Linked DNA regions of Ovis aries. The protein of the gene in region 1 purifies or fractionates together with the protein of each later gene. This does not show direct contact. Links are inferred from orthologs where the notes say so. Each region holds a gene or a part of one and is shown in the gene's direction. Other genes may lie near its edges. The genes, in order: XPC and CETN3.

What was found.
Region 2: the proteins of XPC (region 1) and CETN3 purify together in Homo sapiens (affinity purification with mass spectrometry; 4 studies listed by BioGRID and IntAct, counting the BioPlex papers as one, with this or other methods). This does not show direct contact. The link is inferred for Ovis aries from reciprocal best matches to the Homo sapiens genes XPC and CETN3.

The regions. Positions count from the first base shown.
Region 1 is NC_056072.1:57,967,050-57,970,872, forward strand, and holds part of XPC (DNA repair protein complementing XP-C cells), read left to right. Parts: exon of another isoform or gene 1-3,320; coding exon 3,321-3,516; exon of another isoform or gene 3,517-3,823. UniProt on the Homo sapiens protein: Involved in global genome nucleotide excision repair (GG-NER) by acting as damage sensing and DNA-binding factor component of the XPC complex. Has only a low DNA repair activity by itself which is stimulated by RAD23B and RAD23A.
Region 2 is NC_056058.1:87,588,814-87,592,636, reverse strand, and holds part of CETN3 (centrin-3), read left to right. Parts: exon of another isoform or gene 1-263; intron 264-2,516; coding exon 2,517-2,708; intron 2,709-3,823. UniProt on the Homo sapiens protein: Plays a fundamental role in microtubule-organizing center structure and function. As a component of the TREX-2 complex, involved in the export of mRNAs to the cytoplasm through the nuclear pores.

The DNA.
Region 1 (3,823 bases):
GTGGCTCAAACAGTAAAGAGTCTGCCCGCAATGCAGGAGACCTGGGTTCAGTCCCTGGGTCAGGAAGATCCCCTGGAGAAGGCAATGGCCACCCACTCTAGTATTCTTGCCTGGAGAATTCTATGGACAGAAAAGCCTGACAGGCTACAGTCCACGGGGTCACAAATCGGACATGAGTGAGCGACTAGCACTTTCACACTTAATACTCCATATAAAGCTATTCCACGGTATTGACCACATCCCCGTGCTGTACGTTACATCCCTGTAACTTACTGACTTGGTGCCTCTTCATCCTCTTCCCCTGTCTTGCCTGTCCCCCTACCCCTTTCCCCACTGGTGGCCACTGGTTTGTTCTCTGTCTGTTTTTATTTTAATTTGTTCATTTGTCTTTTAGATTCTGTGTATAAGGGGAAACATGGTATTTGTCTTTCTCTATTTCACCAAGCATAATATCCTCCCTGTTGTTGCGAATGGCAAGATTTCTTTGTTATGACTGATACTTCTGATTCCTTTAGATGGTAGCTCAGGTTTTTTGAGACTTTTCCTGTTTCTGGAGGTGGGCCTGTATTGCTCTAAGCTTCCCTCTTGAAACTGCTTTCGCTGTGCCCTGTGGATTTTGTAAAGTTGGGTTTTCATCTTCGCTGTCCTGCGGTATTTCCTGGTTCTCTCTGCGGCGGCGCGAGCCGTCACTGGCTGTCTGCTTTTTGTAGGGTCCTGTTTAGTCTCCGAGTGTCTGTGTTTCGTTTTTCCCCTGAAAAATAATTGATTTCTGGTTTCCTGCTGCTGTCGTTGGAAAAGACACTTAATACCTTTTCAGTCTCGAATTTGTTGGGACTCGTTTTGTGGCTGGCATGCGGTCGATCGATCCTGGAAAATGTTCCATGCGCACTTGAAAAGACTGTGTATTCTGCTGTTTTGGACACAGTGTCTTGAAGTTATCTATTAAGTTCATGTGGTCCAGTGTGTCATTTAAGGTCACCGTTACCTTATTGATTTTTCTTTCTGAATAATCTGTCCATTGACGTAACTCGGGTGTTGAAGTCGCCTACAATTATTGTATTACTGTCAGCTTCTCCCCTTGTTTTTGTTAATATTTTCTGCATATATTCCGATGCTCCTGTGTTAGATGCATATATGTTTATCAGTGTCATCATTTTCTTGTATTGACCCCTTTATCATTATATAATGTCTTTGTCTATTACTATAGACTTTGTTTTATGGTCTATCTTGCCTGATACGATTATTGCTGTCTGAGCTATATTTTAGCTTCCGTTTGCTTGGAATATCTAGATGATAGCCTCTTTGATGCCCTGGGGCACACACAAAGAATTTAGGGGAAAAATGTTACCATACGTCTCCCATCCAGAAACCACCACCACCAAATAATACTATGTTTCCTTCTAGTCTGTGTCTTTTTGTGTAGTAGAAACTATGCCGACAGCTTTGCATTCTCAGCGTTTTATCACGTCTTCTTCCTTTGTCTTAGGAGATGACCACATCATATATCATTGTGTGGCTGCACCATAATTAACGATTTAATCAATGTCCATTTACTGGATGGGCATTCAGACTTTTAAAATTTTGGATACTTTGAATAATGATACTATAAACGTTTTTTAGAGTCACAGTTCGCTTCCCTTGTTCTCACTGTTAACTTCTCTACCTCTCTATGCAAAGCACAGAAATGCTCACCTCTGCCTTCCAACCAAGCAAGTTTAGAGAGGAAGAGACAGGACTTCTGAAGCAACTGCCCACCTGCATGTTTAGACTGGTCGAGCATTGAGCATCTTATTAACAGAGGGCTAAAAACCATTGTAGGATCTAGAAATCCTGGTTTTCAGTATGCCCTACCAAATTGTCAGGTCGTAAATAAACTTTTGGCCTTGAAATAAGAAATCTGAAGAAACAGAACCCAGTCAGTGATTTTAGCCAGCATTGAAACAAACGCTGCTAAAAGGTGAAATCTATTAAAGTTTAGGTGTTGTTGTTGTTTTTTTTAGCTCAAAAGGAAGAGTCTCTCTCTTCCATGCAAAATTGTATTCTTGGGGACTAAAAATACATATGCAGGGTGTCAGCAGTTCAAACCATAAATGAAAGGAATTAATTAATTTGAAACTTTAGGTTACTACCTCAGCTCCTTCTGGGACCTCAAAAAAGGTTAGAGTATTTTTGTTTTGCAATATTACCTGAAGCAGAGTTGTGCAGAGGAAAAAAGATGATTTATTTCAGATTTAAGATAATTTGCCTGGCTATATTTATAATAGAAAAATATTTTCCCCTGTTGTATTAATATAGTATAACGTATGTAATATAGTTATGTGTTAAGAGACCATGCTTTTAGATACCCTAGTGGAGCTAAAATGAACAGTGTATGGGTTTTTTATATTTCCTTTTAACAAAATTTTATTATTTTATTTATTAATTATTAATAATGGTTAGTTATTAAAATAAAGTTGTTTTTCACTTACTGCTAACTTATTCCAACCTGAAGCTTGCTGAGGGGCTTCCCAGGGGGCGCTGGTGGTAAAGAGCCCGCCTGCCAGTGCAGGAGACATAAGAGATACAGGCCCAACTTCTGGTTCAGGAAGCTCCCCTGGAGGAGGGCATGGCGACGCACTCCAGTATTCTTGCTTGGAAAATGCCATGGACAGAGGAGCCTGGCAAGCTATAGTCCATGGGGTTGCACAGAGTTGGACACGACTGAAACGACTTAGCGTACACATAAGCTCGTATGAGTGGCATTTGGGTTAGACTGGACAGACTTCATAAAGTGTGTGTTTTGAGCAGCGTTTGGTTTCAAAAGACAGCAGAAGCTTAGATTAGGGGAAATCATTGTTGTTCAGTTGCTCAGTCGTGTCTGACCCTTTGCGACCCCATGGACTGCAGCATGCCAGGCTTCCTTGTCCTTCACGCTCAGACATGTTTATAAACTTGAAGCTTTTCACTTAGTAGGGGTGGATTATCCCTAAAATAATTAGTCTCAGCAGGTAGTAACAAGCAAGGTGTTAGTTAATGGATTGATGCGTTTTCCTTGCTGGACATTAGGTAAAATTTAAGGTTTGCAGTTTAGGTTTTATGGGTCGTGTGCTGGTGTCTCTATAGCCTTAGGAGGTAGAACAGAGTAACTGATGAAGGAAGCGTGTATTCTGCAGACCAGCTGGAGGTGGAAGGGGCTGAACGCTGGTTTTTGACCAAACATGGGATGTTGATGGGCGTCTGGAGAGAGGTCACCAGGGAGGACTTCTGTGACCCTGTCCACGAACCAGCAATGTCTCCGCTTTTCCTGTGTCCCTCCTCTCGTGTTCCGTGTGGTCATCCAGATGTCGTCAAAGATGAGAAACCACGAAAGAAGAGCCCTCCCACAAAAGTTGCCCGAGGAAAGAGGAAGAGAGGCTGCGGTGATGCTGGGAGCGCAGCAGACGGTCCAGTGACAAGGAAGGCGGCCAAGGTTTCAGTGAAATCTGAAGAGCCCCAGGCTGTAAAGGATGAAGCCCTCAGCGAAGGGGAAGATTTCAGGTGAGACGGCGGAAAACGTCTTGACCGGGTCCATCAGGGAAGTGTGACTAAGGAAACCTGCTCCTGTTGCTCGTCTCTGGGGTCTGTGGAAAAAGTGGGATCTTTAAACAGATCTAGGTAGCGCTCGTGGAGAAGGCGATGGCATCCCACTCCAGAACTCTTGCCTGGAAAATCCCATGGACGGAGGAGCCTGATAGGCTGCAGTCCATGGGGTCACGAAGAGTCGGACACGACTGAGCGGCTACACTTTCACTTTTCACTTTCATGCATTGGAGAAGGCAATGGCACCCCACTCCAGTGTTCTTGC
Region 2 (3,823 bases), on another chromosome or scaffold:
CAAGTGATGGTGCGGTCACCCTTGGGAGCCCAGTCGGGACCTGTGATGTGTCCGTTGTGCTCCTTGAGTTCCTGAACTTTCACCCACTGGCCCCCATTCTTCTTATAGATGTGGACTTTGTGATTATTTGGGCTAAGGGCGCTTTGGGAATGATCCGTGTTCTAGGCATGAAAGGTGATTGGCTATAGTAAAAACTGATGCAGGGGCATTGTTCTTAGTGTTTTTGAAGCATAGAAAGCTGGGATCGGGGCCATCTGGATGGGCTCGGAGTGTTGAATTTGCAGTCTCTGGTTGCATGCTCATAGACTCTGGTGGGCACGGGTGGAGGACCCTTAAGTGATTTTCACAATGTATAAGATCTAACTGTTTTGAGTGAGTACATTTCTGATAGTATAATTAAGTCATTTGAAAATAGAGTTACATGGACAGAAATTTGTGAAATAGATTCAACCCACCTTTACTGCCTTTCTCTTGATTTATTTTCATTGAAAAAAATATATGTTATAATTCTACTTTGTAGAGCAAGAATAGAACATGAAGGCATGGAGGAGAGTCATCATAAAGTTAAAATGCGTTAGCTGTCCAGAATGATGGGTATTTATACTTCCAAAGGAAAGTTGCATTCTAAGGCAAAGTATTGATAAAAGATTCTATAGACACACAAGTCTGAAGTAACTAACACAATTAAAGCACCATTGGGATAGGAATTTATACATCTTGGAACCCCATCTGTTCCCCAGATCACCCTGTTGCTTCTTTAAGTACATTAATATTTTCAGCAAGCTGCTTTTTTGGTTCACCTGTCATGTAAATTATTTAATTGGTGAAGAAAATTTCTTAACACTTTTTTTTTTCCTTGTCCTGCTTTTTTGTTGGGACTAAATTCAAAATAAGTTGAGTATGAGCCATAAAGTTAAGTGTGGTATTTTATTTTGGTGTTATGGCTGTATATATGCCAACTCCTTTTTAACTGAATATTTATGAGCTTTGATGATTTGCATACTTATAGTAATATACTTCAATTAGTTACTTGGAAGACTTTTGTATAAAATTAATGGATAAAAGAAAATTATTGTAGAGGAAAAACTCAAAAAGAGAAAATTATTGAATATATGTGTAGATGATTTAACATTAGCTTGAATAGGTGCTTATTCTAAAGCTCATTCAACCACATATGATGCGGACAGCAGCACAGCAACAGTTTGTGGGGGACTTGAATTGTATTTTTCTTTTGAGTGCATTAAATATTCCAGTGTTTTCTGATTATAAGCCTTTGCAAATTTTTAATGATTCTGTAAACCTCACAGGATGGGATTATTTTTAATGGCACAATGAAAATCATAAATGCCTCTTGTAGTGGTAGATTAACATGTAGAATTACTTCAAAGATTTTTACTTTGATATTTTCAGAATTTTATCTAGTAACTTAAAAAATTTTATACCACAGATTTAAAAAGTTTTGTTATTGTGGCTATTGATTAAAGACTGCGGTTTTATGAAAATATTAAGCTTACTCTTATTATATATTGTTAAATTTAGTATATTAAATAATTGTTACTAGTGAGGCCTGAAATTGCTCACATTTAATTTTAATTTAGCTGTCTGATAGTTACTATCTTGCTGAATAGAACGGATTTGACTTTAGAGAGATCTCCTTTCCAGACTTTTTAATTTTTACTATAATCAGATTCTATCCTTTTAGTAACTTCTTCTGAGAAACCAAGGGGTTCTTCTAAGTTATGAAGATACCAGCAGAATTTTCATATACTTTCTGAGACTGTGTCTTTATCAATGGTGACAGTTAATTTTGTAAATTTGTTAGGGAAATTTGTTTTTAAGTTGTGTTAAATTTGGAGGACAATCAGTATTACTATTAAGTTTAGCCAGCAAACAATTTTTAGTTGGTTTTGATTGTTTTGTTGGTATGTCATCTCTACAAATAGGTTACAAACTCCTAGACTTGTATGCTTGATGTCAGTGGAACCTAGCACAGTTCTTAATAGTAGACCTTAAATAAACATGGTATGAATATAGTTTTTAAAAATTTGCTTCTGTGTAATATAATTATGCTTACTCTTAAAATAGGATATTGTTGTTTGGTCACAAGTTGTGGTTGACTCTTTTGCGACCCCACGGACTGTAACGCACCAGGCTCCTTTGTCTACGAGATTTCCCAGGCAAGAATGCTGTAGTGGGTTGCCATTTCCTTCACTGGGGATCTTCCTGGCCCAGGCTTTAAACCCATGTCTTCTGGTTGTCAGGCAGATCCTTTACCATTGAGCCCCCTGGGAAGCCATATAATAGGATAAATTGTTGATAATGTGAAGGTTAAATTCTAAAATATGAATTTGACTTTTCTGATTTTAGGTTTATCTCAGGGATTTTGTACTTTGGTTTGGCATTTTTATTGCCAAACTAATTTCACAGTTTTAATTCTCATCTAATAATTAGTTGATTTTACAAATGAATGCCTTTGTGACTGTGAAGATTTACTTTTAATCTCTTTTTAACTATAGTGACAGACTGGATATTGGAAAGAGATCCACATGAAGAAATATTAAAGGCATTTAAACTATTTGATGATGATGATTCTGGTAAAATAAGCTTGAGGAATTTGCGACGTGTTGCCAGAGAATTGGGTGAAAACATGAGTGATGAAGAACTTCGGGCTATGATAGAAGAATTTGATAAAGATGGTGATGGAGAAAGTAAGTTTTGAGTAAAACATATATTTCAAATATTCCTACTTGTACACATGAGTAATTTTTTTAAAACCAAATGATTTTCAAGACCCGTTGCAAACTGTCCCTTTATTTAGTGTAAATGTTGTTCATCCTGTAATGGGCTTTTTGCATAAGTATCACACATACTTGGCTTGGAATGAAGCAGACCTTTAAAACCAACTGTACAGGTTATACTATGAGGTTCCACACTTCAAGAAAGTATTTTTCTTTGAGGGTGAAGTATCTCCAAATTTCAGCCACTCAGTAAATTTCATCCTTTAATGCTTTCTTCCTCAACCTTTATGCATGTCTAAGTTTGAGTCTACCCTTCAAATATTTTGAAGTTTTATTTCTTTATTTACTGCTGCTGTCCTAATTCAGGCCCTAATTTCTTTGTTGGAATTTTATAATATAATAGCTTCGTTCATTATCTCCTTGAATGCCTGCTAGTACACAGTTCTTTGTGCTGACTGGTGCTGCCCAATAAGAAGCTGATATTTTCTCTGCTCTCGCTGACTTAGAGTCTCTTGTAGCCTCCTAATTGCCTCCTCTATGCCTCTAAACTTCTGTTTTCATCCTAATATCATTCTTTTCCTAAAATGCAAGTTTGGTGATGTCATTTTCATATTCAGACACTTATGATTCTTTAGTGCCTATGGAATAAATTCCAAAGCCTTTTATGAGATCTGTCCTACAACAGCCATCTCGTTTTATTTCCCACTGTATTCTTCCTCTTTTTACTCTAACCCTCACCACTTATATAGTATGCATACTTTGACAGAATATACTCCAACCTGTCCTTTTATGCTATGCCTTTCATCATGCTGTTCTTTAATCTAATTGCCAGGTTCTGTCTGCTAAAATGTTAGTCGTTATCTCAGGTTCATCTTAAACTCCCCAAAGCCTCCCTCATTGATCTCTATTTGTAAATGATGAGATTTCCACTGAGGGCCCATTTAGCGAAACAATCTTTTTTGACCTTTTATACATTGCCTTCTGTTAGTTATGTACATATGTGTCTTTCCAATTATATTGTGAGCCACTAAAGAGCGGTATGGAATCATACAGTGCAAAAAGCCTGAGGCTTTGGAATCATACAG